4 linked regions of the Stegostoma tigrinum genome follow. The protein of the gene in region 1 interacts with the protein of each later gene in a pairwise test. Links are inferred from orthologs where the notes say so. Each region holds a gene or a part of one and is shown on either strand. Other genes may lie near its edges.

Evidence for each region.
Region 2: the proteins of rint1 (region 1) and sfr1 interact in binary tests that used the Homo sapiens proteins (3 or more experiments, as listed by UniProt). The two-hybrid records come from large-scale screens. The link is inferred for Stegostoma tigrinum from reciprocal best matches to the Homo sapiens genes RINT1 and SFR1.
Region 3: the proteins of rint1 (region 1) and c30h19orf25 interact in binary tests that used the Homo sapiens proteins (3 or more experiments, as listed by UniProt). The link is inferred for Stegostoma tigrinum from reciprocal best matches to the Homo sapiens genes RINT1 and C19orf25.
Region 4: the proteins of rint1 (region 1) and fam81b interact in binary tests that used the Homo sapiens proteins (3 or more experiments, as listed by UniProt). The two-hybrid records come from large-scale screens. The link is inferred for Stegostoma tigrinum from reciprocal best matches to the Homo sapiens genes RINT1 and FAM81B.

The regions. Positions count from the first base shown.
Region 1 is NC_081378.1:22,456,509-22,463,659, reverse strand, and holds the start of rint1 (RAD50-interacting protein 1), read left to right. Parts: upstream 1-4,146; 5' UTR 4,147-4,183; coding exon 4,184-4,333; intron 4,334-5,452; exon of another isoform or gene 5,453-5,598; intron 5,599-7,151. UniProt on the Homo sapiens protein: Involved in regulation of membrane traffic between the Golgi and the endoplasmic reticulum (ER); the function is proposed to depend on its association in the NRZ complex which is believed to play a role in SNARE assembly at the ER.
Region 2 is NC_081373.1:15,987,253-15,994,584, forward strand, and holds the start of sfr1 (swi5-dependent recombination DNA repair protein 1 homolog), read right to left. Parts: upstream 3,006-7,332; 5' UTR 2,950-3,005; intron 1-2,949. UniProt on the Homo sapiens protein: Component of the SWI5-SFR1 complex, a complex required for double-strand break repair via homologous recombination. Acts as a transcriptional modulator for ESR1.
Region 3 is NC_081383.1:11,326,811-11,334,672, forward strand, and holds the start of c30h19orf25 (UPF0449 protein C19orf25 homolog), read right to left. Parts: upstream 3,005-7,862; 5' UTR 2,863-3,004; intron 1-2,862.
Region 4 is NC_081356.1:88,806,225-88,814,090, reverse strand, and holds the start of fam81b (protein FAM81B), read left to right. Parts: upstream 1-4,861; 5' UTR 4,862-5,117; intron 5,118-7,232; 5' UTR 7,233-7,266; coding exon 7,267-7,307; intron 7,308-7,866.

The sequences.
Region 1 (7,151 bases):
GATGTGTTTTTGGAAATGTTGTTGTATTGGAACAATTAATTATTAATATGTACTGTATCTATTATTCAGTTAAGTCACTCTAAATTCCTCTTTCTTTTGTTTGTATTTTAACTATAGTGTTTAAATAAATTGTGTTTTGCTTAACATCAAGTAGTTTGACCAGTTGCAAAAACCTGGAAACACACACTTCACATCTATCTTCAAAATAAGAAAAAGTTAACAGTTTAGGCTACCTTCTTAACATGTTTTGAGACAGTCTGGTCTCGTCTGGTCAACAACACATAACAGGGACTGTGCAGTGATCGTTCCCACCAATACTGTTAAGGACAAATGCATCCGCAACAGGTAGATTAATGAAGATAAAGTAAAGGAGGTAACCCCCAGTGTTGGTTCTCTCATTAGCTACTGCGAGCCCAGTCTGAAAGCCTGTTCCTCCAAAATTCTATCACCTCAGTCAGTGATGGTGCTAATGGGCTACTAATCCTGATCAACATTGAAGTCCCCTTTCAGGATGACCAACTTGAAGGAAAAAAAATACAAGGTATGCTTTACTGGAGGAGTTGATGAGACTGGAGGAGTAGGGGCCCATATGACTGGAAGGAGAAGGAAGCTTCAAAGGAAAACTTTATGCAGTTTCAACAAAGTCAAGGGGACCAATATGACTATCTCAGTTCACAGACGTTTACCATCACGACATATTTCATATATTTTACTTAGCCTCCCTCCTTGATAGTATGTGTTGTCCCTCAAAAGGCCGCATACTCCTGATACATCACATTGCTGCCCAACCTCCCTCCCTCTCGCCAATATTAAAGCCCCTCTCTGCAAATTCCTAACCCCATCTTCAAGGGCCTGCTAGTAAATTCTCTTTCTGGCCTTCAAGTAAACTCTCCATCAGGCCTGCTCACCTTTTAGGTTTGCCAGATACTTCTTCAAGTCTGTCAGCTCTATCAGGGTACCTGGTCCCTATGTCCAATCAGGTCCGTGTGAATCTCACCCCATCTGCAGGTCTGCCTTGATCCTCCTCACCCTCCAGGCCTGCTATCCTTGATTCCAGAGTTGAGAGAGCTGGATTGTGAGGAGAAACTGAGCAGACTGAGATTATACTCATTGGAATTCAGAAGAATGAGGGGAGATCTTATAAAAACATATAAGATTATGAAGGGAATAGATAAGGTGGAGGCAGGGAGGTTGTTTCCGCTAGCAGGTGGGACTAGAGGGCAAAATAAAGGGAAGCAGATGTAGGAGTGAAGTCAGGAGGAACTTCTTCACCCAAAGGGTTGTGAATCTGTGGAATTCCCTGCCCAGTGAAGTGGGTGAAGCTACCACACTGAATGTTTTTAAGGCAAGGCTAGACAAATTTTGACCAGTAAAGTAATTAAGGGTTATAGTGAGTGGGCAGGTAAGTGGAGCTGAGTCTCAAAGGTCAGCCATGATCTTATTAAATGGTGGGTAGGCTCGAGGGGCCAGATGGCTTACTCCTGCTTCTAGTTCTTGTGTTCTTATCCCAAACAGCACCTGGACCTGACCGCTGCTGCCGCCACCACCAACTGTCAACACAATATCTCCCCATCCCCAAAGTTGGGCTTGAGAGTTCTGCAGCTGCTGGCCTCAACTCCTACCCCACACCAAATTACCTCTGGATCCCTCCAAACTCAGCCACCCGTTTGCCAAACTGATGTGACTCTGGGAAGAGTGAAAGATAGCACACTTGTTTACTTCTTTGTGTCTGTATGGACTCGTGTTTATGTGTGCACACTTTGCTGACTTTGGACTGCCCATGTTAATTCAGCAAAATACTCAGGCAGCAGCAAGAGGTGACTTGAGGTGCCTTCTCAGTCACTGATTAGAGGAACCGGGGAAGAATAGCATTTCAAATTAGCTTAAATTCTATATTTAGGAATGGAAGCCAAACTGACACCATCCCTGAAAACTTGGAAACAAAAATCAAAATAACTCAAAACACTATGTCTGGCAGCATCTGTGGAGGAAAAGCAGAGTCAAATGTTTTGTGTCCAGTGACCCTTCTTCAGAACCTTCAGGGTTCACACCATTGGTGAGTTTGAGGACGAGGACCGACACCGCAGTATAGCATTCTATCACAAACCTACGCATAACCTTACGGTGCCACACTTCTCTAGCTTCCACCAGAAACCTATTAAAACAACCATCCCTTATGGACAAACCCTACACATACACAGAATCTGTTCAGATAAGGAGGAGTGAAACTGAAACCTAAAGGTGTTGAAGGACACCCTCATAAGAACAGGATACAATGCAATACCCATCAATAGCCAGCACCGACATGCCACAGTGAAAAACCGTAATGCCCTCCTTAGAGACAGACGTGGGATACATCTGACACAGTGCTCTTTGTCATGCAGTGCTTCCCAGGAGTGGAGAAACTCTGCCACGTTGCTCACAGCCTTCAATGCATTATCAATGAGGATAAGCACCTCACCAAGATCTTCCCCATGCCTCCACTTCACGACCTCAAACAACTGCCCAACTGTAAACCATTGTTCGCAGCAACTATCCAACCTTCTGGACAATATTGATGACAAGTCTATACAACCCTGTCATTAGTAGCTGTTGTAAGACATATCAGATCTTCAACATGGACACTTGGGAGCACGTGGGAGAACTACCCACCGTGTGCCTGGCAGATACTCACGTGACTCAACCAACAGTGTTTATCTCATATGCTGCAAGGAAAGATGCCCCAAGGCATGGTACATTGGCGAAACCATGCAGACACGACAACAACAGATGAATGGACACTGCACAACAATCATCAGAAGGAATGTTCCCTCCCAGTCGGGGAATACCTCAGCGGTAAAGGACACGTTAAGCCTCGGATCTTCAGGTAAACAACCTCCAAGGTGGGCTTTGGAATACACAACAATGCAGAGTCGCTGAACAAAGATTGATAGCCAAGTTCCATATACATGAGGACAGCCTTAACTGGGATCTTGGGTTCATGTTGCATTACAGGTGACCCCACCACACTCAACTCTCTCTCTCTCACACACACACACAGTCTCTCTTTCTATCTTCCCTCACACATAAATACACACACTTTCTCTCTTTCTCTCACACTCAATCTTTCTCTCCCCCCTTCCCCCACACACACTTTCTCTTCCCCATTCCCCCAAACATACAGACTCTGCCTCTACCCCCAAAACACACACACTCTCTCTCCCCCTCCCCCCCCCCCACACACCCAAACACACCCCCCACACACTCACTGTTTCTCTCTTTCTCCCCAACTTCACTCACACACACAGTCACCCTCTCTACCCTACCCCCAAAACGTCAGCTTTCATGCTCCTCTGATGCTGCTTGGCCTGCTGTGTTCATCCAGCATCACACTGTGTTATCTCAGATTCTCCAGCATCTGCAGTTCCTACTATCTCTAAACAAGGTCCTACACCTAATATGCGTTGTGTGACCTAAAATGTCACCTCCTCTGTATACTGCAAAGATCTTTATTTCTCTCAGGACCGTGTCTTGAAAGGAATCTGGCGATTTACATATACATATTAATCAATTAAAACCTTCTAATTGATTTAAAGATTTAGCAGCATCTTAAGATTTGTTTAGTCCATCCTCAGTGGTGTGACCTTTTGATCTTTTACTTATAAATTCAATGTCTGATACTACCTATTTCACTAACACCTGAAGAAGGAGCGACGCTTAGAAAGCTTGTGATTTCAAATCAGCGTGTTGGACTCCTTTTCTGATGAAAGGTCTAGGCCCGAAACGTCAGCTTTTGTGCTCCTAAGATGCTGCTTGGCCTGCTGTGTTCATCCAGCCCCATACTTTGTTCTGTTGGACTACGACCTGGTGCTGTGTGATTTCTGACCTTGTCCGCCCCAGTCCAACACCAGCACCTCCACATGATTTCTGCAGATGCTGTCAGAGTTGTTGAGCTCCTCCAACATCCGCGGTTCTTTGTGTTTATTATCCGAAGAGTCTGGTCTGCGCTGCTGTTGAACACTGGCGTGTCACAAAATGGTTAAACATTAACTGTGTTTCTGTCTCCACTGGCGGTTTGAGCATTCCTCCAGCAGTTCCGAACTGTTCTCCATCGTTTTGCTGGGATGACGCCGAGTCAGCCTGTGCGCGGTCTCCATGGTAACCGGTCCGGTTGCCCGGATGTGGTGACGTGCCAGCCGCTGTCATGGCGGCGGAGGATGGGTATGGTGGCGAGCTCACTCAGCATGTGGTCGAATTCGTTGAGAAAGAGTTTGGAGACGATCCGACATTATTAAAGAAACTCCCAAAAATAATAGAGGAGCTAGCGCTGAGTAAAAGAAACCTGGAGGAGCAGGTACTGCGCCTGGGCCTTGTGGAATCCACTTGGCTTAAATAATTTCACGGTCTTTCCTCCCCGAAACGTGCATCAAAATAAATGCCATGCACACTGTGAATAAATAAATTTAAAACCCTAGCTTGAGTCTCAGGTATAAGACATTAGGTCTTTATTGAAATTGGAAATGTGCTAAGTATTTCCTCAATGCTAGTGTTTCGCTATTGAAATCACTACTTTTGAAAGAGAAATTGCACGCCTGGTTTATGTCTCGATCAAAGGAGGATAACTGGTTATCTCTCTGGTCAAAACAATGTGCAGTTATTGAGCGGACCTACCAGTATTTACCGTCGCTCATGTCTGGTATATCTGAAATATCTCTCGTTGTCCATAATGATCGTTTCAACAGAACAAAACATTAGCTTTCATCGAATATACTTAGACGTGCACTTTTCATACTAAGGCATTTATAAAATGGTGCCTTGTTGATCTGTATAACAATTTTTTTCACAAATTTGGAATGCCAAAACAGATATTAAGCTGTCACTCTAACTTTTTTTGCCATGTGTATGTGTTACTCAATATTTGTCATCCGTCCTGAGTTGAGCAGGAAGAATCAAACCAGATTGCTGTATGACGGAAGCCATTTTTTGGTTAGACTGTGATTATGTTTGTCGTAATATAGTTGAATTGTCAGGTTTATAGTGACCAACAAGCTGAAGGACCACCTGACCGGCAAAACAAATAGTCAGTCAGCCACTTGTTATCTTTTCTGTTCCTATTTCCTTATGTTGCCTCTAAGCAATGTTGCATTCTGGCCTGTGAGCCCGATAAAAAGAAGAACAGTAGTCCGAATGCTCAAGTAAATTTCTACAGCAGTCCTAGTGACACTGTGAAAGTGATAACTGAAGAACTTGGTTTGGTTTAGCTGCTCATCAGTCGTTTTCACCAAATAGTTGAACCCAATCAATAAACAGCACTACATGGCTTCCATTTTAGTTTTGAAATGTGCAGTTTTCTGTATGTGGGTGATTTAGTAACGTCCAAAAGTATTCAACACTCATTTTGATTTATTTGTTGAAATAAGCAATTGTAAACAATAGGACATCATTGACATAAAATGAGAGATTACAGAAAGTGTGGCCATGAACAAAAATTTTATTCAACATCTGGATGCTGTGTCTGGAAATCGCAGATGATTGATTGTAAGCACTTAGGGAGCAGAAGTCAATATGTAGAGATTTTTCCATTCTTCTCCATACTGGAATGTCCTATTTGTATCAATTCTAATAAAAAAAAGAGTTTGACCATTGTTTTTATTTAAAAATAAATTAGAGTACGCCATTAGAAACAGAGATCTTTACTTAGCAGTCTGTCACCACCATTTTACAGTAAATGCAGCATACTTGCTCTATGGATTACAAAACCCTCTTGAAGCTGTCCTTCTGACTCTAAGCATATTGATCTTGATTGCTGATGGTTTAAAATTTCATATCTAAAAAAGATTGTGCATCTGTTTATTTAATTCTCCACATATTTTGTATCAAATGGCAAATGTCATAACCTGATGACCACAGGTTTGACAAGTATCAAAATCCTATAGGACCATGCTGAACTCGAGCAGAGACACTTTGATTCCAAGTGAACCACGTGACTATTTACAACAATGCGTCATTCTCATTTGGTATGGCAGAATTTGAAATTAGCGAGTTGCTATTTCAATAATAAATTCTGAATAAATTAGAGGCTATAAAGGCCAATTGTGGTTTGGTACATTACCTATTTTAATTCTTGGTGACCGCATGATTGCTAGTAGAATTTTCATTGCGTAGTTTCAATTTTTATACAATGTAATGGTTGAAAAGAAAACCTTTTAATGTTTAAATCCATTAGCATAAGAAATGGAAATAGTAATGTGCCGTTCAGCTTTTTTGAGCCTGCCCTGACATGTAGTGAGACAGTGGCATGTCAATAACTTCTACTTCAACTTTGTTTTCCCACCCTATCCCTTGTCCTTTCATTCTCTCAATATCAAACAACAGATCTCTAACTTGAATATGATCAACAACCAAGCAACCATGACTCAAAGATTCACATCAAAGTATCTTGGATTACGTTTGGGAAGTGTGGAACATTCATTTTGGGTGCGAGGTCCTTTAAAATTATCTTACACTGCGACACACGTATTAAATTAAAGTGGCCAACTTGTGCACATCGAGCAGTTGAGGGGTAACATGGTTCATAGTGCTTTGAATGAAAACCTTCTCTACATCTCAATCCTAAATGGATATTCCCTTATTCTCAAGTGGTGAACCTTAAACCTTCAATCTCCTTAACGAAGGGAAGTATCCTCACAATATCTCGTTAAGCCTGTTGGGCAATTTCTGTTACAATTTGATCACCCCCTAATCTTCAAAACTCTAGGATATATAGGCCCGCTGTCTTCAATCTGTTCTCATCATACATTAAGACTGCAGAACCCATTGTTGTACTTACTTTAAGCATGTATATCCTTTATTGGGCATAAAGATCAAAACTGTATTCTGGGTGCAGTCTCAATGAGACCCCTTTCAATGTAATGGCTTGTTTATTCTTATACTCCAGATGCTTTTTAGTACAGATTAACATCTTGTTTGCTTCTTAATTGCTTGCTGTATTATTGGTTTACAGATACATATGCCAGCCCAGTTGGTGCTGTTGTGGCACAGTGGTAGCATTCCTATCTTTAGGCCAGAGGTTTGGATTCAAGTTCCACTTGCTCCAGAAGTATGTCATGACATATCTGCACAAGATAACTAAAAACAAAACTTCCAGTTCCTCTGATTGTCAACATTTTCCA
Region 2 (7,332 bases), on another chromosome or scaffold:
GCTGTGTTCATCCAGCCTCACATTTTATTATCTTGGAATTCTCCAGCATCTGCAGTTCCCATTATCTCTGATTATACCTGCTGAAGTCTCCCTGCCTGCTGCCGATCGTAACCAGCAACCGTAAGAGTCAGAGCCGTACAGCACTGAAACAGACCCTTCGGCCCAAACAATCCAAGCTGATGGTATTCCCAAACTAAACCAGTCCCATCTATCTGTGCTTGGCCAATATCCCTTCAAACCTTTCCTAGTCATGTACTTATCCAAATGTCTTATAAATGTTCTAAGTGTACCTGCACCCGTCACTTCTTCTGGCAGGTCATTCCACGCACAAACCACGCTCTATTTAAAGAAAGGTTGCACTTCATGTCCTTTTTAAATCTTTCTCCTTCAAAATATGTCCCCTGGTTTTGAACTCCCTTAAGGGAAAAGACGTTTGTCATTATCTATGTCCCTCGTGATTTTATAAGCCTCAATAAGGTCTCCCCTTGACCTCCTAAATTTCAGTTAAAAAAGTCCCAGACTTTCCAATTTCATTTTGTAACTCAAACCCTCCATTATCCTTCCTATAACAGGCCATCCAGAATTGGTCACAGTACTATAGAAGAGGCCTTATCAATGTCCTGGACAATCTCAAAGTGATGTCCCAACCCAAAAGGTCTGAGCAATGAAAGCAAATGACCCATTCTTTGATAGCAACTGATATTGGTATAGCCCCTTGAATGTAGTTAAACAACCAATCTACTTCAAAAGGATTGAACGAATCAGTCCAGGGTGCTGGCACAAGGTCCTTTTTGGCAATTATTTAAGCAGAAAAATTTTCTTTTTGGCTGATTATTTTAATTAGTTTGTAACTCAGAGCAGAACTTCAATAAATACTCTCTTCATCATTGCTTTTCTGCTAAACTTTGGGCTTGTTAATCTTCCTGAAGTTTACAGGAGTTAATATTTGGGACGCCACCCAAAATATCTTGGAAAAAGATCCTAAGTGCAATTAACATTATCAGTTTCTGTTTCATTTAAACTTTCACATGTTAAAGTCATTATAAGAATTTCTGTTGTTCCTGAAATAATGATGATTTCTTCTTTGTGTAGGCGCACTCTTTGCACTACTTTTTGAACCACCAGCAGGTTTTATACTAATATTTCTTCCTTTCCTTTCTCACAGTTTGGTGCTCTTGTTCAGCTTGGAATGTCTCTCACCTTAATGCAAACCATCATCTGCTCTTCCATTTTACACTCTAGCTGCAAATTGTCAACCTCAGAGTTTCTGCATTATCAAAAGTTTTCTTGAAAGTAAATGTCTCCTCTTACAGCAAACCTGCTCTCACTTTAGGATCGCTAATGCTTAAGACAATATTATTTTGGAGGAGATCAACTTTCAGTTATCGAAATTCACAGGATTCAACTTGATATATCAATGTGGTCACATCCTGATAAACAGTCTCCCTCATTCCTGAACTCTGATGTTAACACATACCATTCATATGTAACATAAATACGGGACTAAAAGCGTGCCTTCAAAGCATTGAAAATCTTTTCTCCCTGATATTTCTTGCTGAAACCTAGACTGTAATACAGCTGATAACACTTTTTCCCCAGCATTAACGGTAGGGTTGCAATTGTTATGTGCTCAGGCTTAATTGTTGAAACAATTCTGTTGCTCCTTCACAGTTTTGCCACAGAGTGAATAAAATTCCAATTCTAATTCATATATCCCTTCATTTCCGTAGTAACAGGGAGTGGAAAATAAATAGCCATTTAGACTCATTCCATAATTTGATTTACTCCTTCTTTGCTGTCTCTTTCATTTTCTCACTCTCTTCCAGTTCTGCAATTCCACAGTTTCGGTTATACTAGTCTGACACCAGGATTCAAGTGATATATTTAATGGCTATCCACATGTTGCACAGAAATGCATGTACAGCAGAGGTCAAATGATTACCACAAGCCAGTCAGTACACTAATGGCATATTATTACATTTCTTCAAACACATTCCCTATTCCTTCGTCCATACCCTCTTGTTCCCTGTCAGTGGGTGGGACCATATTAACCATTTGATGCGACACTCTTGAATCAGAACTGTATGAAGCTAAATAAGATGAAATATTGCTGAAGGACTTGGGGTGGGAATGAAATCCCAAAAAATTACAAAGTCCATTTTGTGCCTGAGCAGAAATCCTTACCTTTCTTTGTATTATTTGTTTTAATAATTGATAGGATACCACATAAAAGGATAATGCACAAAAGCAATGGTGAGATATGGATAAAGGATAAGCTAACTAACAGAAAATAGAGTTGGGACAAATGGGACATTTTCAGATCGGTAAACTGTAACGAGTGTGACAGGGATCAGTGCGGGGACCTCAACTATTTACAACCTACAATGATCAGTATAAAGAGACCAATTGTACTGGAGCCAAATTTGATGAAGATGGGGAGGTAGAGTTTGCTGTGGTGGAAAACAAGTTGTTAGGAAGACAAAGATCTTTAGAATGGTGTAGATAGATTAAGTAAGTGGGCAAAAATTTGGCAGATGCCAAAATTTGTGTGGCAAAATTTGAGGTCCACTTTGACAGGAAAACCAGAAACACTGTATTTTATTTAAATGGAGAGAGACTGCAGAATGTTGTGGTACAGAGGGATCTTGGTGTCCTTGTAATTGACTCAAAAAATATTGGCATGCAGGTACAGTAGGAAGTTGTAATAGACTTTATTGTAAGCAGGATGGAATATAGAGGTAATCAAATCTTAATAATTTGGTACAGGGCATTGGTGAGATTGCAACCTGCAGCTCTGCTTTAAAACTTAACTGAAGCATACAGACAACTTGAAAATCATGAAGCAATGATTTTTCATTCCACTGACATCAGATCTTTACACATTTGAAAAGGATTTAAGGTTCAACCAGAAAACCAGTGTTCACATAGAATTACATTTATAGTTCTTACCAGTTTGAGGAAATCCTTTGTCTCTCCTTTTTCCATGGGGACTCTTTCTGACAAAGATACCCTCTCCTCCAGAGAGCACCAACTAGACCGGTCTAAGTCTCTGCTGGATGCCCTCCCTCACCATTGCCACCTGCTGGAGGCCCCATTACATGCTTGCCCATCCTGGCAACTACACACAGCCCACAGTGACCTCTGAGCAAGCAGTTATGTGGTCAGGTTCATTTGTACCATTATGGCTACACTGTTCATGTCCACATTCTCTTAATGAATTACCAATTTTGGCAAATGATAGGGTTTGAGGCGACATCCAGTATTTGCTTGAGAGGACCTTCCCAGCCTCTGATTTGTGTTGGTACCTTCCATGTGATACAGCTTTGTGGCAGATCACACTCATTAGGTTGTAGAATATCTTGATCCGGAAGGCATCCCAATATGTAAAGCCAAACACCATCAGGAATATTGAGCAGCATCAAGAAGGATGATGATTTCTTAATTTTTTGTTTTGTGAGTCATGAGAAATACATTTACCACTCTGGTTATAATTCAGGTCTTTTGGTCACAGGTTGGAATGGACTGCATGATCTTGATGAAGACATTCTTGAGTATGAGAATGGCTCAAGCATATTACTACTGGAGTTGAAGACCATGAAATCTATTGCAAGGAACTCCAAGTGGCCTCTTGGTGATGGGGATCCCATGATGGGGCGCAACCACTTTCCAGCTTGGCCAAAGTGCACCTCTAACAATTTCCACAGCAGCAGCTATCCCAGGCCAGAATACTGCTTTCTGGTCAGGGAAGTGGTTTTTTATTGTCACTTGGTGTCCTGCTTACTTGTCAGTCATTACTAACAGTTGGCACTTGAAGCTGTCAGGAAAGATGAATTACTTCACTTCTCTCTCCTTATTATGAACCAGCCAGTAGAGGACTCCATCCTCCCCACCGATCCTCTTTCAGCACCTCAACAGTTTTCATTCCTGCTTGGACTCCCTGAACAGCTGGTGCATGCTTTGTCGATGTTGTGCCTTCCTGGACCGTCTGAGGGCCCTGTTTTGCGATAGATGGCAAAGGTGAAACCAAACAGGGCTCTATCAGTCTGGGATATTGGGAACTGCAGATGCTGGAGAATCCAAGAAAATAAAGTGTGAAGCTGGATGAATACAGCAGGCCAAGCAGAATCTCAGGAGCTCTAAAGCTGACGTTTCGGGCCTAGACCCTTCATCAGAGAGGGGGATGGGGAGAGGGTTCTGGAATAAATAGAGAGAGAGGGGGAGGTGGACCGAAGATGGAGAGAAAAGAAGATAGTTGGAGAGGAGAGTATAGGTGGGGAAGTAGGGAGGGGATAGGTCAGTCCAGGGAAGACGGACAGGTCAAGGAGGTGGGATGAGGTTAGTAGGTAGGAAATGGAGGTGCGGCTTGGGGTGGGAGGAAGGGTTGGGTGAGAGGAAGAACAGGTTAGGGAGGCAGAGGCTGGCTGGGCTGGTTTTGGGATGCAGTGGGGGGAGGGGATGAGCTGGGCTGGTTGTGTGATGCTGTGGGGGGAGGGGATGAACTGGGCTGATTTTGGGATGCGGTGGGGGAAGGGGAGATTTTGAAGCTGGTGAAGTCCACATTGATACCATTGGGCTGCAGGGTTCCCAAGCGGAATATGAGTTGCTGTTCCTGCAACCTTCGGGTGGCATCAATGTGGCACTGCAGGAGGCCCATGATGGACATGTCATCTAAAGAATGGGAGGGGGATTTGAAATGGTTTGCAACTGGGAGGTGCAGTTGTTTATTGCGAACCGAGTGGAGGTGTTCTGCAAAGCGGTCCCTGAGCCTCCGCTTGATTTCCCCAATGTAGAGGAAGCCACACCGGGTACAGTGGATGCAGTGTACCACATTGGCAGATGTGCAGGTGAACCTCTGCTATATATGGAAAGTCATCTTGGGACCTGGGAAAAGGGTGAGGGAGGAGGTGTGGGGGCAAGTGTAGCACTTCCTGCGGTTGCAGGGGAAGGTGCCGGGTGTGGTGGGGTTGGAGAGCAGTGTGGAGCGAGGGAGTCACGTAGAGAGTGGTCTCTCCGGAAAGCAGACAAGGGTGGGGATGGAAAAATGTCTTGGGTGGTGGGGTTGGATTGTAGATGGCGGAAGTGTCGGAGGATGATGCGTTGTATCCGGAGGTTGGTGGTGTGGTGTGTGAGAACGAGGGGGATCCTTTTTGGGCGGTTGTGGCGGGGGCAGGGTGAGAGGGATGTGTTGCAGGAAATGCGGGAGACGCGGTCAAGGGCGTTCTCGACCACTGTGGGGGGAAAGTTGTGGTCCTTGAAGAACTTAGACATCTGGGATGTGCGGGAGTGGAATGCCTCATCCTGGGACCAAATGCGGCGGAGGCGGAGGAATTGGGACTAGGGGATGGAATTTTTGCAGGAGGGTGGGTGTATTTCTCGTTCCTCCCACCCCAAGCCGCACCTCCATTTCCTACCTACTAACCTCATCCCACCTCCTTGACCTGTCCGTCTTCCCTGGACTGACCTATCCCCTCCCTACCTCCCCACCTATACTCTCCTCTCCACCTATCTTCTTTTCTCTCCATCTTCGGTCCGCCTCCCCTCTCTCCCTATTTATTCCAGGACCCTCACCCCATCCATCTATCAGTCTGGACCTGGTTTGGATCTCAGTCAAGTGCATTGGGAATCTTAGTCTGAAAGTCAGAGGGAACTGAGGTGGGAATACTGCCTTTGACTGATTCATAGGCATTGTGTCACCCAAAGTCCCATGTTTCCTGGTTTCTGTTGCACTCAGCTTTGAAGACATTTAAAAGTTGCTGAATGGGTTGTTGTCAGCTTTAAACTCTGTGAAATCAGACTGTCTCTGAACTTCTGAGAAATCACCGTCTCAAAGCAAACATTTGAGTTTCAACCTGGATTATTTCTCCATATTCCTCTTGTACAGCTTGGCCATTTTTTTTTTCTGGCCTTGAACCTGTGAAAGCACCACATGGGATCTCTACTCCTGATGGTGGTCGCAGCCATGGTTATTGAGGGCAATTTCATTTGAATTGCCCAGCCCTGTCACTACTCTGGCAAGTCTTTGGAGCATCACTTGGGCAGGATTTGCCATTAGACTTCCTGTGGAGACAGGCCAGCTGTGGTCACAACCTATTCCAAGTGCCTATTCAGCCTGAGGCCTACACTCCTAGCCATGCTGATAGCCACCCCTCTGATGGTAGCCTCGTTCCTGGTCTATGGAGTCCAACCTTTCCAGATGACTGCTCTTCTGCTTCAAAGGAGGACAATTGAGGTTTATTGCTACTGAGCCTCCTCCAATCCATTTGGACAGTCCCATCCCTCATTACTTCATCTAGGCCCACTTGTTGATTGAAAGAGGGACCCAGGAGGACAATGTGATCAAACAAATTTACCACCAGCTCCAAGGATACAGAAATGAAATCTTCACCTTCGGCTTCATTATACTCATAAAGCCTCTGCTGTAGCTATGAGAGGCAGCTGCTGTCCCCTTAGACCTCTGTCAGTACCTCAAAGAACTATTGTAGATTTTAGATGTCTTCCCAGTATTTCTGATGTGCTTTTCTGCCCATCTGTCATGAATTCTGCCTTCTCACTCTGGTTGAGTCCTACGAATGCCATGGCCAGCTGTGTGTCCTCAATCCATTCTTTGTTGGAGCATCAGGTGTTTCTCGTGTTTTCCTTAATCTGTCTACAGATTTCCTACAGATCGACAAATAAAATATCTGACTAGGTGTACTGCTTCCTTCCTCCATAGCATCAAGGAAATATACATGGGAAGCCTCTATCTGGGTTTGGTCAAAAGGTCCAATTTCCTCCATCAATACCTGAGCCCCTAAGGGTCCAAGAGCAGCTTCAGACTTCCTCACAGACATTGTCGGTTTCAACTCCTTTACCCTTTGTTCCATCTCAGTTGAGCACTTTTGAATCTCAGCTGCCATGGCATGCTTCTGGTGCTGTGGAATTCTGCCAACTGCACCATGGATGTATTGGAAAATTTTTCCACCTTGCTGGGATCACACGCTGAAAATCAAGCCCCACTGTTCCTAGAAGTTAGAGTTTAAAAAGTATGCAGAATCCCCTAAGTTACGTGTCTTTTAGGCCCAGATTGACAGAAAACACAGACCAGGTTTCTGTACTTGGCAAAAGTGATTGATTATTTCAGATCTTCGGTCCACCTCCCCCTCTCTCTCTATTTATTTCAGTACCCTCTCCCCATCCCCCTCTCTGATGAAGGGTCTAGGCCCGAAACGTCAGCTTTTGTGCTCCTGAGATGCTGCTTGGCCTGCTGTGTTCATCCAGCTCCACATTTTGTTACACCATTGTTACCTCCCTTTTACTTACATGCATGCGCGCACACACACACATATACACACA
Region 3 (7,862 bases), on another chromosome or scaffold:
TGACGGGGGGGGAAAGAGAGTGGGGGGGGGGAGAAGAGAGTGACGGGGGGGGAGAAGAGAGTGGGGGGGGGGAGAAGAGAGTGGGGGGGGGGGAGAAGAGAGTGGGGGGGGGGAGAAGAGAGTGGGGGGGGGAGAAGAGAGTGGGGGGGGGAGAAGAGAGTGGGGGGGGGAGAAGAGAGTGGGGGGGGGAGAAGAGAGTGGGGGGGGGGAGAAGAGAGTGGGGGGGGGGAGAAGAGAGTGACGGGGGGGGAGAAGAGAGTGAGGAAGAGGAGCGGGAGAGGCGGGGGGGTGAGGAGGAGGAGCGGGAGGCGGGGTGGCGGGGGGGTGAGGAAGAGGAGCGGGTGGCGGGGTGGGGGAGAAGAGGAGAGTGTGGCGGGGGGGGGAGAAGAGAGTGACGGGGGGGGAAAGAGAGTGGGGGGGGGAGAAGAGAGTGACGGGGGGGGGAGAAGAGAGTGGGGGGGGGGAGAAGAGAGTGGGGGGGGGAGAAGAGAGTGGGGGGGGGGAGAAGAGAGTGGGGGGGGGAGAAGAGAGTGGGGGGGGGAGAAGAGAGTGGGGGGGGGAGAAGAGAGTGGGGGGGGGAGAAGAGAGTGGGGGGGGGAGAAGAGAGTGGGGGGGGGAGAAGAGAGTGGGGGGGGGGAGAAGAGAGTGGGGGGGGGAGAAGAGAGTGGGGGGGGGGAGAAGAGAGTGGGGGGGGGGAGAAGAGAGTGGGGGGGGGGAGAAGAGAGTGGGGGGGGGGAGAAGAGAGTGGGGGGGGGAGGAGAGAGTGACGGGGGGGGGAAGAGAGTGACGGGGGGGGGAAGAGAGTGACGGGGGGGGGGGGAAGAGAGTGACGGGGGGGGGAAGAGAGTGACGGGGGGGGGGAAGAGAGTGACGGGGGGGGGAAGAGAGTGACGGGGGGGGGGAAGAGAGTGACGGGGGGGGGGGAAGAGAGTGACGGGGGGGGGAAGAGAGTGGCGGGGGGGGGAAGAGAGTGGCGGGGGGGCAAGAGAGTGACGGGGGGGGCAAGAGAGTGACGGGGGGGGCAAGAGAGTGACGGGGGGGGCAAGAGAGTGACGGGGGGGGGCAAGAGAGTGACGGGGGGGCAAGAGAGTGACGGGGGGGGCAAGAGAGTGACGGGGGGGGGCAAGAGAGTGACGGGGGGGGCAAGAGAGTGACGGGGGGGGCAAGAGAGTGACGGGGGGGGCAAGAGAGTGACGGGGGGGGCAAGAGAGTGACGGGGGGGGAAGAGAGTGACGGGGGGGGAAGAGAGTGACGGGGGGGGAAGAGAGTGACGGGGGGGGAAGAGAGTGACGGGGGGGAAGAGAGTGACGGGGGGGGAAAGAGAGTGACGGGGGGGGAAAGAGAGTGACGGGGGGGGAAAGAGAGTGACGGGGGGGGAAAGAGAGTGACGGGGGGGGAAAGAGAGTGACGGGGGGGGAAAGAGAGTGACGGGGGGGGAAGAGAGTGACGGGGGGGGAAGAGAGTGACGGGGGGGGAAGAGAGTGACGGGGGGGGAAGAGAGTGACGGGGGGGAAGAGAGTGACGGGGGGGGAAGAGAGTGACGGGGGGGGAAGAGAGTGACGGGGGGGGAAGAGAGTGACGGGGGGGGAAGAGAGTGACGGGGGGGGAAGAGAGTGACGGGGGGGGAAGAGAGTGACGGGGGGGGAAGAGAGTGACGGGGGGGGGGAAGAGAGTGACGGGGGGGGGGGAAGAGAGTGACGGGGGGGGGGAAGAGAGTGACGGGGGGGGGGAAGAGAGTGACGGGGGGGGGGAAGAGAGTGACGGGGGGGGGGGAGAGAGTGACGGGGGGGGGAGAGAGTGACGGGGGGGGGGAGAGAGTGACGGGGGGGGGGAAGAGAGTGACGGGGGGGGGGAAGAGAGTGACGGGGGGGGAAGAGAGTGACGGGGGGGGGGAAGAGAGTGACGGGGGGGGGGGAAGAGAGTGACGGGGGGGGGGAAGAGAGTGACGGGGGGGGGGAAGAGAGTGACGGGGGGGGGAAGAGAGTGACGGGGGGGGGGAAGAGAGTGACGGGGGGGGGGAAGAGAGTGACGGGGGGGGGAAGAGAGTGACGGGGGGGGGAAGAGAGTGACGGGGGGGGGGAAAGAGAGTGACGGGGGGGGGGAAAGAGAGTGACGGGGGGGGGGAAAGAGAGTGACGGGGGGGGGGAAAGAGAGTGACGGGGGGGGGGGAAGAGAGTGACGGGGGGGGGGGAAGAGAGTGACGGGGGGGGAAGAGAGTGACGGGGGGGATTGTGGGGCTGGGGGATGATTGTGGGGCTGGGGGGGGGGATGATTGTGGGGCTGGGGGGGGGGATGATTGTGGGGCTGGGGGGGGGGATGATTGTGGGGCTGGGGGGGGGGGGCGATGATTGTGGGGCTGGGGGGGGGGGCGATGATTGTGGGGGTGGGATGATTGTGGGGGTGGGATGATTGTGGGGGTGGGATGATTGTGGGGGTGGGATGATTGTGGGGGTGGGATGATTGTGGGGGTGGGATGATTGTGGGGGTGGGGGGATGATTATTGTGAGGGTGAGGGGAGGAATGTAGGGGTGGGGAATGGGGTAGATTGTGGGGGTGGGGGGAGTATTATTGTGGGGGTGGGAGGGATGATTGTGGGGGTGGGAGGGATGATTGTGGGGGGGGGAGAGGATTGTGAGGGTGGGGGGAGGATTATTGTGAGGGTGGGGGGAGGATTATTGTGGGGGTGGGGGGAGGATTATTGTGGGGGGGGAGAGGATTGTGAGGGTGGGGGGAGTATTATTGTGGGGGTGGGGGGGAGGATGATTGTTGGGGTGGGGAATGGGGTAGATTGTGGGTGTCGGGTGGGGACAGAAGGTTAAGGTTTGAGGTTTAACCCTGGCACAAAGGCCCCAGAGCACTAACCGAACTAAAGTTCAGGCGGCAATCCAAATGTCCCGTGAGGGTCCCCGGAGCGGCTCCGTACCGGGAGGGAGAGGCCTAGGCCCCGGAGTATCAGTGGAGCCTGGAACTGACACCTACCTCCCACAATGGCGGCGCCTGCCGGCCTAACGTCAACCAGCCCGGCCACGCCCCTTAAAGCAATGCTGCACCCTCCTGCCTGTATCATTGTACAACCCAAAATACTCAAATTAGTGACCCAACTCAACGAGATTCCAGAATTAACTATTGTAATTGTTAATCCAGCAGTTATTATCAGTGTTAATTTGTTTCCCACAGCCCTGAGAACAGAGCCATCTTGAAATAAGGTTTTCAAACTTCATTTGTTCGGGCTCGGCCCAACAAATATTGACACATTCCTAAGGACTACATCATTGTTTTTCATGTCAGAAGTCACATGGCATCAGTTTATAATCCAACACGTTCATCTGAAATCTTAAACTTTCAGTGCACTGCTCCTCCATTAGGTGAAGTTTTCTTTTGATGAAGGAGTAGCGTGTTGCAAGCTTTCAGATAAACCTGTTGGGTGATAACCTGGTGTCGTGTCACCTCTGACTTTGCCCCTGTCCAACATGGGCACCACCATGTCATCATTATTTTTGAGTAACAGATGCCCGTAAGAAAGCCCATGCTATGGGCAATGAGCAACAAAAAGGTGCTGCATTGACATCACGCCCTAAATCGCTTGGAACCTGATGAAGCACCTTCTTAAAAATGAAGCAAATTGGTGTGAAGTGGGAGATGCAGCAGAAATTTGTGCACAACAGGATTCCCACAGAACAGCAATCCAGTGACTATCATCTTGATTGACAAATAACACGGGGGATCGGGACACGGCCTGTGGGGCAGTTCCGTCACTTTTCCTCCAAGAAGTGCCGTGCGATATTTCACATCCACCCAACAGCAGACAGAGCCTAAGTTTCAGGTGTCATTCAAAATATGTCACATCTGACAGCCCAGTATGCACTGGATTGACAAGTTTTGATTTTTAGGGGACACTCTGGGAATGGATCTTGAACTCACAATTTTATGACCCAATAGTTAAATTCACTACCCACTGAGACTCTTCTGGTGCTAGAAATAACATGTTTTGCATTGGAATGATGACTGACTTAAAATATGATGCTGCACATTTTTTTTCTGTATTATGAGATTCAGTCTTGGCTTTCAAAACGGTATTTAATAATTACCCAAAGAAAAGAATTTGCAGGATGACAGGGAAAATGTAGGAGAGTGGGACTGGTTGCGTTCCTGTTGTAGAGAGCCGGTACAGGTATAATGGGCTGAATGGCTTCCTTTTGCACTGAAACCATTCTGTGATACTTTTGTCAATGAGAAAGACTAATCACACAGTATGCAATGCGATCAAAGCCAGACTTTGAACTAAGATAACAAGGTGTCGAGCTAGCTGAACACAGCAGGCCTAGCAGCATCATAGGAGCTGGAGAGCTGATGTTTCGGGCCTAGGCCCTTCTTCAGAAAATGTTCAGAAGATTTTCTGAAGAAGTGTCTAGGCCCGAAACGTCAGCTCTCCTGCACCTATGATGCTGCTTTGACCTGTTGTGTTCATCCAGCTCCTCACCTTGTTATCTCAGATTCGCCAGCATCTGTAGTTCCTACTATCTCTGAGACTTTGAACTAAGTATTGTTTCATAAATTAATGTCTAATTGACTTTAACTTATCTGTTATAAATTGTGCATCTCCCATGGTGTTTTCCTCAGATTCAGCAACTCATTGAACAGACTTTAAATTGTGGGTAATAATTTCAATACAGCTCATTCCCATATCCATTCTAAAATGTAATAGTGCTTTATTATTGTTACAAATTTAGCTAGAACCATTTTGCAGATATCCTAATTTGTTAAATCCAGAATTTTTTTAAAAAACCCTTACACAAACATACTACAGATTGTGAATGAACACTTCAAATAAACATTTATCTAATTTTGAAAATGCTAGTTTTAATATTATTGTATTAAAAGATTGTGAAAACTGTGAAAAACATGTTCTAGAGTGTTTAGTGTTTTCACCAGTGGCTTACTTGCTGTAGTAGACCTTCCTAAACACCTCATGTACAACCACACTGTCCATGCAAGGTTTTAAAGGATTGTCTTAAAAGTTTAACAAGTTGGCAAAACTAATTTTCTGAAAATTTTTTTGAAGAAGGGTCTAGGTCTGAAACATCAGCTTTCCTGCTCCTCTGATTCTGCTTGGCCTGCTGTGTCCATCTAGCTCTATACCTTGTTATCTCAGATTCTCCAGCATCTGCAGTTCCTAATATCTCAGTAGTAATGCACTAGTTGGACTGGACCATCATTATGAAGTATCCAAGACCCATTGGACCACTATGTCTCATTCACCAGTTTTAATGGTTTTTCCCAGTTGGAAGAACAGTGTTCTTAGAAAGAAACATGATTTGGAACTTACAGAGATTGGAATGACATGTGAGTTAATACATTTCCCATTTCCTGCTCTTGCCCTCTCATCTCCAGTAAGCAACTTTACAATGTTTATTATCTGAAAAACACTACCTCATTATAAATTGGTTTTGAAATCAGTTCACCTAAGATTCAACATAAGCAAACATTTTCTGCAGTGTGCTCTGCACACTTATTAATACTGATTCAATGTCCAGGCTCTCTAAGTTTTATTATTTTAAAGAAGCTGTTATAAATGGCAGCCTGACAGGAATCATTTTCTGCATTGTCCTTCATTCACCTTCTGTCTCCTCTGCAATGCAGTTGCTTCATGTAGTTACACTCTGGTGATTAAATTAATGTTCATATCCTTAAAGGTTCCAATCCAAGGCTCAACAATGTCAAAATACTTCAAAATCAATAGGCAATTTACAGGAGCATTTGGCCTGATGGTCAGGGAGTCAGTGTGTCAGGATAATGTACGTAGTGTAAGTTTAAGGAGAAGTAAGAATTCATAGAATGACATAGATGCACTGAAATAGGTCATTTGACCTAGCCCATTCATGCTTCCCATCAAGTCTCTTCCTTATCTCAATCTATCAGGATAATCTTCTATTCCTTTCTTCTTCATCTGATTATCTAACTTCTTAAATGTATTTGAATTGAAGATTTTCCATCTCCTCTTCTGGAAATGTTACAATACTTACACAATGGACAACGGCTTCTCCCAAAGTGACCATTCTAATATGAGAACCAGGATGGAGGGCTGACAGTGGCAGGGACTTGGGTTCAATTCAGCTTTAGTTGACTGTGTGGAATTTGCACATTCTCTCCTTGTCTGCATGGGTTTCTTCTGGATGCTCTGGTTTCCTCCTGCAGTCAAATGATGTACAGGTTAGGTCAATTAGCCATGCTAAATTGGCTTGTAGTGTACGGGCTAGGTGGGTTAGCCACGCAAAATGCAGATTTACAGGGCCAAGCCTGGTAGGATACACTTTGGAGGGTCACTGCAGACTTGATGGGCCAAGTAGCCTCTTTCTACACTGTAGGTATTCTATGACACTTAAGTGTCTGTGGCATATTCAACACTATGGGAACAGGACAGCAGTTGAGTGCAATCTGGCTGGAGTCAAAGAGAAAGAGAGGCCAGCAAAACTTGTGAATAGCACATACCAGCCAGATTTATCTTGTACACTTCAGTAAGACCACTCTGTTCATTTCCAAGTATTAATGTTGGTTACCTTTCTTCCTTCCCGCTCTGGGGGTGCATATCAATTCCAGTTTGGTCAGCAGCCTTTCCAAAAAGAATGTAATGGGGCAATTTTAACTGAACCTGACATTGGGAAACTGACTGAATCACTTTGGATACTGGTTTCACACCTTCTGTGATTTAGCTGTCTATTGACTTCTCCATTCAGCTGTGTGTAGAACCCAGTTGAATCACCAGAGTTTTCCCAGCAGTGAATTTGGTTCAAATTCCTTTCCTTGTCTCAGCTGGAGGTATTTGAATCCCTGGGGAAACTGTACCATTTTGGTCAGGTGGCTAATCTCTTCACAACATTCCTAAATACTTTCTACTCCTAAATTGTGACAATGATTTCCACACTTACACAGCTCTTAGTAGCGCTAAGCAGGCTACGTAAATACGCCGATAACAAAGCGTGGAGCTGGATGAACACAGCAGGACAAGCAGCATCTCAGGAGTACAAAAGCTGACATTTTGGGCCTGAGATGCTGCTTGTCCTGCTGTGTTCATCCAGCTCCACACTTCGTTATCTTGGATTCTCCAGCATCTGCAGCTCCCATTATCACTTTGTAAATACTCTGATGGCCTCTACTGGTAGATATACAAAATTGCAATTGAAATGTCTGCATCGTGTTTTCTCCCTTTAAATTTTCCTGTACTTTGAGCGTGGACTGTTCAAAGAGCGCTGGCTAATGTATAGCACTTCAAACAAGTAATCATGAAATGTCAGCAGGGACAGGAAGCCTTAGCATATGATTTGACTTTTGTGGACTCATAGCTGAGCAAAATCCTACCCTCATCCAACATCCATGGAAGTACACTCCCAGCATGGCCTCAATTGAGGTATAGACACTGAGGTCTACAGTGTGTGTGTCATATTGTGGTACTGGTTGTATAACTAACTGGATTGAATCATAGAATAGTTCTGCTCAGAACGAGGTGCAATTGATACTATTCAACAGGCTTAATTTCTGGCACATTATTTCCTCCTGTTGTTCATTGCTCAGTGCCACAGGGAACAATGCACAAAGCAGTCAAGCAAATGGAAAAGGTTTATGTTTTCAATTTTTGATCTTTACTTCCATATCAGTATATTAAACACACTTTTATGTTTAACAATAGCAATTATAGTACAAGTATCAATTATTTTAGATCTGGAATAATCAAATTGAATACAAAATTTCTGTCAGTACAGACTGTTTTGAAAATACATTGCTTCCTCGAAGATCTGTTTAAGGATGTTCACAAACTCCACCAATGAGATTCTTCCTTGCAGCCTCTATGTATGTTATTGTGGAGA
Region 4 (7,866 bases), on another chromosome or scaffold:
AGACCATTTGGAGCTGTTATTATAGTCAGAATGAAGTCCACTAGGCCCACAGTATCTGTACCAATTTGTTGCTACAGCAACCAGAATCTACTCAACTAATTTACGCACTCAACATAGCCTCAGAGTAATGACTTATGAATTTAAAACAGAGATGAGGATTTGTTTATTTCAGAGGGGCAGTGCATCTGTGGAATTTTTATCAGATAGGACTGTTGAGATTAGGTCTTTAAGTACACTCAAAGCTCAGACGGACAGGTTTTAATTACTAAGGGAATCAAGTGTGATGGAGAAAAGGCAGGGCGAGTGGAGTTGAGGACTATCAGATCACCCATGATCACATTGAATCACAGAGCAGACCAGATAAGCTGAATGACCTACTTGTGCTCCGATGTCTTATGGTCTTAAAGTCTGTGCTGTTATATTTAAGGCAGGGCTGGTGATTGAGGTTGCAAACGGGGAGAACTTTGTGGTCAGTGACCACAATTCTGTTAGCTTCAAAACAGTGAAGGAAAAGGATATATCAGAACTAAAAGTTAAATTTCCAGGTTGGAGGAAGACCAATTTTGACAGTATTAGGCAAAAACTTTCAAAAGCTGTTTTGCAGATGTTTGCAGATAAAGGGATGGCTGGAAAATGGGAAGCCTTTAAAAATGAGATAACGAGAGTTCAAGGATAGTATGTTCCTGTTGGGGTGAAGGACAAGGCAGGTAGGTGTAGGGAATTTTGGACGACTGAAGAAATTGATGCTTTGGTCAAGAATAAGAAGGTATAGACAGCAGGAATGGAGTAAGTCTCTAGAAGAGTATAAAGGCAGTAGGAGTATACTTAAGAGGGAAATCAGGAGGGCAAAAAGGGACATGAGATAGCTGGCAAATAGGAGTAAGGAGAATCCAAAAGGATTCTACAACTACATTAAGCACAAAAGATTAATAAGGAAGAGAATAGAACCCTTTAAAGATCAACAAGGCTGTCAATGTGTGTAACAACAGGAAATGGGGGAGATACTAAGTGAGTATTTTGCATCAGTGTTTATTGTGGAGAAGAAATGGAAGATAGAGAACATTGGGAAATAAATAGCATCATCACAAAAAATGTCCGTATTAGAGAGGGGGAGGTGCTGGATGTCGTGAAGTGCACGAAGGTGGATAAATCCCTGGGACTAGATCAGGTGTACTCTAGAACTCTGTGGGAAGCTAGCAAAGCGATTGCTGGGCCCCTTACTGAGCTATTTATACCATCAATGGCCACAGGTGAGGTGCCAGAAGCCTGGAGGTTGGCTGATGCGGTCCCATTATTTAAGAAACATGGTAAGGAAAAGCGAAGGAACTATAGACTGGTGAGCCTGATGTCAACAGTGGGCACGTTGTTGGAGGGAATCCTGAGGAACAGGATTTACGTGTATTTGGAAAGGCAAGGACTGATTAGGGAATAGTCAATATGGCTTTGTGCATGGGAAATTTATTTTTTAGGTTAGATTAGATTCCGTACAGTGTGGAAACAGGCCCTTCGACCCAACAAGTCCACACCACCCCTTGAAGTATCCCACCCAGACCCATACTCCTATAACCCACACACCCCTGAACATTATGGGCAATTTAGCATGGCCGATCCACCTAGCCTGCACATCTTTGGACTGTGGGAGGAAACCGGAGCACCCGGAGGAAACCCACGCATACCCGGGGAGAATGTGCAAACTCCACACAGACAGTCACCCGAGGCTGGAATTGAACCCGGGTCCCTGGTGCTGTGAGGCTGCAGTGCTAACCACTGAGCCACCGTGCCGCCAATTGTGTCTCACCAACTTGATTGAGTTTTTTGAAGAAGTAACAAAGAAGATTGATGATGGCAGAGCAATGGACATGATCTGTATGGACATCAGGAAGGTGCTCGACAAGATTCTTTATAGTAGACTGGTTAGCAAGTTTAGATCACATGCAATACAGGGAGAGCTAGCCATTCAGATATAGAACTGGCTCAAAGGTAGATACAGAGGGTGGTGGTAGAGGGTTGTTTTTCAGACTGGACACCTATGACCAGCAGTGTGCTACAGTGACCGGTGCTGTGTCCACTGCTTTTTGTTATTCTTATGACTTGGATGTGAACGTAGGAGGTATGGTTAATAAGTTTGCAGATGACACCAAATTTGGAGGTGTAATGGATGGCGAAGAAATTTACCTCAGTGTACAGTGTGATCTTGATCAAATGGACCAATGGGCTGAGGAATGTTAGATGGAGTTTAATTTAGATAAGTGTGAGATGCTGCATTGGGAAAGTCAAATCAGGATAGGGTTTATACACCTAATGGTAAAGTCCTGGAGAGTGTTGCTGAATAAAGAGACCTTGGATCGCAGGTTCATTGTTCCCTGAAAGTGGAGTCACAGGTAGATAGGATTGTGAAGAAGGTTTTTAAATGCTTGCCTTTGTTGGTCAGTGCATTGAGAATAGGAGTTGGGAGGTCATGTTGCTGCTGTGCAGGATGTCGGTTAGGCCATGTTTAGAATACTGTGTGCAATTCTGATCTCCCTGCTATAGGGAGGCTGTTGCAAAACTTGAAAGAGTTCATAAACATTTACAAAGATGTTGCTCAGGTTGGAGGGTTTGAGCCATAGGGAGAGGCTGAATAGACTGGGGCTATTTTCCCTGGAGCATCAGAGGCTGAGGGGTGACCTTATACAGGTTTATAAAATCATGAAGATCAAGGTCTTTTTCCTGGGGTGTGGGAATCCAAAAGGGCATAGATTTAAGGTGAATGGGGAAAGATTTAAAAGGAACCTAAGGGGCAACGTTTTCATGCAGAGCGCAGTGAATGTATGGAATGAACTGCCAGAGGAAGTGGTGGAGGCTGGTACAATTATGATATTTCAAAGGTATCTGAATGGGCATATGAATAGGAAAGATTTAGAGGGATATGTGCCAAATGCTAGTAAATGGGACAAGATTAATTTAGGATATCTGGTCAGCATGGATGAGTTGGACCAAAGAGTCTTTTTTCATCCTGTACAGCTCTATGACTCTATTTTGCTTCTAAAGTCTGTGTACCTCCTCCATTAAAGATATGATGGTCTCTGAAACTGCAGCATATGGCATGCGGGTTAAGGATATAGGAAAGATAAGTTTGATGTCTCCTCTGTCTTATTCCTTGTTTTAGCTGTGCTTTTGTATGAGGAACCTGCTCCTTCCATAACCATTTTCTTTTGAATGAAATGAAAGAAATAGTTGCCAGCAGAGTGATCCTGGTTACAGCCTTCCAATGTTTTGTTGTGTATACACATGTACACAGATCTGTGAGTGCGTGTTCAAGACAGACTCGTCGAGGAGTAAGCTTAACCTGAAGTTTAGTTTTCTTTATTACATTATTTATTACATATTAAGACTAAATACTACATTTCATGGTATTCAGGGATATACTACACTGTAATCTCACTAAGTAAAAATCAAAAGAACTGTAGATGCTGGAAATCAGAAACAAAAACCGAAATTGCTGAAAAGGTCTAGCAGCATGTGCAGAAGGAAATCAGAGTTAATGTTTTGGTCCAGTGACCCTTCTTCAGAACTAATAGTAGCTAAGGAAATGTTGGGCTTTGTATGCATGAAATAGGGTGGGGGGAGGGAGTAAGGAGTAAACTATAAGTGGCAATAGATTTCCAAAAGAGAGAAGAAGTCACACAGACAAAGGAGTGGATAGCAATCAGGCTGCAAGGGTGAATAGCTATTAATGGAGACTGTTAATGGCTAACAATGGGTTGTGTATTGTAGCAAACCATGTGATAACAAGGCCTGGTGTGTGGGTAAGGACATGGGAGAAGGTGGCTGTATGGTTCCCAAATCAAAAATGAGGTGCTATTTTTCCAACTTGCATTGAGCTTCACTGGACTACTGTAATTTTACTATTACTTTATTGAAAGAGATGGCTCCAAAACCTCCTAATGTTAGTCTGTCTACTCCTCCTTCTTCTACGTAACTGTTTCTATCGTCCGCAAGATTAGACTTCAGGCTTGTGTTGAGCTCCTGGTGTGTTTCTCTCTTCCTCTCTCCTCTTAACTCCACCTCTACTGTGCTATTTATACCCAGTGAGCTACAGCTCTGAGACATCACTGGAAGATTGGACCATGGTTTTAAAGCCTTTACACCACAAGGAAGTCAAAGGTTTAATCTCTTGGAGTTGGTTGATGTTGCATGAATGAAGACCATGTTGTACAACAAGCCTTACATTAAAATAAATTATAAATCAATAACATACATAAGCAAAAACAAATTTTAGTTTTACCAGGATAACAAAGTGTGTAGCTGGATGAACACAGCAGGCCAAGTAGCATCTTAGGAGCACGAAAGCCGACATTTCGGGCCTAGACCCTTCATCAGAAAAGAGTCAAGGCCCGACACATCAGCTTTTGTGCTCCTGAGATGCTGCTGGGCCTGCTGTGTTCATGCAGCTCCACACTTTGTTGTCTTGGATTCTCCAGCATCTGCAGTTCCCATTATCTCTTCGGTTTTACCAGCACTGGAATCGTCAACTTGATGTGTAATTGGGTGTAATTTGTAATTTCCCTTTAATTTCAAAGTCAATAACTGTTGTGCATAAGGGGTGAATTGAAATTTATAATTTAAGAAATATCCTGCTCAATTAATTCAGTACTAAGTCCATGTTCCATATGTAATCTTCTGCCAGTCTTCAAATAATAAAGCCAAGATTAAAGAAAAATACATGTTCTTGGATTTTGGTGTTTTTTTTGGTCAAAACTGCTTCTGGAAGCCAATACATCCTTCCCTCGTCAAATCGCCTAGAGCTGAGATCAGAGGGCGGTGCTAGCCATTCGACGGTAACTTGGAAACAACAGTAAACAAGGTCATTCTCAGAGCGGCATTTCCGGGAAATTGACTCGAGTTATTTCACACAATGATCACACCGTAGTTTATGAGTCTTGTTCTGTTTCAGTTTTACAAAACCAGTGAGGTACTGTAGTGAAATGAATAACATGCGGACTGTGCTGATTGCTGTACAGGTTAAATTTATCCTTTGTATTCTCATAGTGTTCGATGTTTTCCTATCCCATTGAAGTACTCTGCCGATAACAGGGGAACACATTGCAAACAACCAAAAAATCCCGAACTATCCGGTGAGTTGTCTTCTCCGAAAATGGTACCTGGGGCAAGTCAGGTTTCACTTGGCACAACCGAACCTGGCCCAATTTATCCTGTGCATTTCAAGCTTGTAAAATATCTGTATGCATAAATCTTCGGGCGATTCACTGATGAATTTACATACTCAAGGGAAACGACGTGCTGTTTTGAAATGAGAACAATCGATTCCTCTGTGTTCTCGGAATGTGTAAAGCAGTAAATATTCAACTTGTTAAATCGTTGAACGTGTGTTACTGTTTTCGTGCACGGCTTGCGAAACTCTTGTTGTCACAAAGGGAAAATAGGAGACAGAGCCGCTACTCGGACGATTTGTGCATTTTTTTTAGCCACGGCTGTTGAACTACAATATAATATCTGGGAGCTGAAGTAGGCCACTGGGCCTGGCGAGACTGTTCTACCTTTAAATCAGGTGGTGGCTGATCTGATAATCCACAACTTCTGTGCCTTATCCAACCCAAGATTCCTTTAAGAATTGACAATTAAATAAAAAGACTCAAGAAGCTTGAAGCTCCCCAGCCCGTTGGATTGGCACGGGATGCACAAACACCCATGCCTCCACCATCAACACTCAGTAACAGCAGTGTGTACTGTCTACAAGGTGCACTGCAGAAATTCACCAAGGCTCCTTTCCAACACTTTCCAAACATATGTCCAGTACCATCTCCAAGGACCAGGGTACAATCACCTGCAAGTTCCCCTCCGTGCCCTTCACTATCCTGATTGGTTTCTGTGCTGTATGACTCCATGTCACCATTCCTTCACGTTCACTGGGTGAAAATCCTGGAATTCTCTCCCTAACAGTATTGTGTGTCTACCTACAGCACATGGATTGCAACTGTTCGAGAAGGCAGTTCACCACCACCTTCGCAACAGCAGTTAGGGTTGGGCAGTAAGTGCTGGCTAAACCAATGATGCCAAATTCTACAAGTGAATAAAAAAAATCTGCTTATTTCAGCCGTGAATATAATTAACAACCCAGCCTCAACAGTCCGCTGTGGTAAAGAATTCCGCAAATTGATTACCTTCTGAAAAGGAAAAATTCTCCTCACCTGCATCATACATGGATGACTCATAACTCTGACTTTATGTCCTCTGGTCCCAGACTATCCCACAAGGGGACATAATTTTTCTGCATTTCCCCACTAATGCTCCTAAAAATCTTGTTTCAATAAGATCACTCCTCATTCTTCGAAATCCCAATGAGTACAGGCCCAACCTTGTCAACCCTTCTTCATAAGAAAATCCCTTTACACTGGGGACCAACCTAATGAATCTTCCCTGAACTGCCTCCAGTACTTGTATATCTTTCCCTAAATAAGGGGATTAAAACTGTTCACAGTATTCCAGGTGTGGTCTAACCAGGGCTATGTATAGTTTTAACAAGACTCCCCTATTTTTATATATCTTTATACCCTTTACAACAGATTCCAACAGTCCTTCCCTTTTACCCGCTGAATGTGGATGATAGAGTTTTGTGAATCTTGAGCAAGGATCCTGAATACCTCTGTGCTGCAGCTTTCTAAGTCTTTTCCAATTGAAATAATGTTGAGCTTTTCTATTCTGCCTGCCATTATTAGCTATTATCACCTTGTGGTGGTGAGTTGCATGCATTTAAGAAGAGGATAATCCTGATCACCATTACATTAATTTCTGAACCCACAGAGATTATTACTGACAATCTTCTCACAATAGTCTGGCAAAATGTTTGAGATTCAACATATATTTCCTTTAAAATAATTAATTAGCACTTCAAGGTTAACTTTTGTTAAGGAAAATGCAAAATCTACATTGCAGAAACATTACAAATGAAATCTTTAGCCCAAACAACTCATGGAAAATTTAATCTGCCAGGGAGGAGGAACTAGAAGTATTGCAGCATTGAAGCTAAGTAGATTGTGCATGATATGTTAGATGTATACTAATATGTCTTCTGTGTTGTCAGTGTGATTTGTGACTTAAGATACTGAAATACTGAAATCAAATCTCAAAGATCAAATTAATGAATAAGAATTCAACTGAGCACGTAATGTCATACCGCATTTCAAAGCATTTCATTGACTTACTTTGTTTTCTGTCTTCTCCTCTTTTAGCGTGTTGGTGACTAATTTGAACTTCATTTTAAAAATGTCTGCAGAAAACCTTTTGCTGGTTCAGATACCAGGGAAGTAAGTGTTAGACACATTGGTTTACACTGTACTGTTATAATGCTGCAGTGATTGAACGAGTTTCCAGCTCCATGCATGATTAGAACAGGAAACAGTTTGTTCAACAGTCCATTGAAAGCAACATGTTAGCGTTAAAAGACTCTAATTATATTTCTTGAATTAATGCATTTAGCAATCTTAGTACAAACAAGAAGGCTATTATTATACTGAGGTAAAATTTTGATATGAGTTGACAGAGAAAATCAAAAGACTAAATTTTCGAGCTGGTGTTGGACCCTAAAAACAGAACTAATTTGGGGTGTCAAACTTGGGCATATTGTCAACGTATCCTTCCACACTAAGTTCTGGCAGGTAGGAACATAGGAATAGGGTTGGGCCATTGGGGCCCTCAAGCACATTTTTCCATTCAAGGAGATCATGGCTGATCTGTGGCCTAACTCCATATACCTGCCTTTGGTCTATATCCCTTAATACTCTTGCTTAATAAAAGCTTATGTATCTCATATTTAAAATGAACAACTAATCTGGCATTAATTGCCATTTGTTGAAGAGAGCTTCA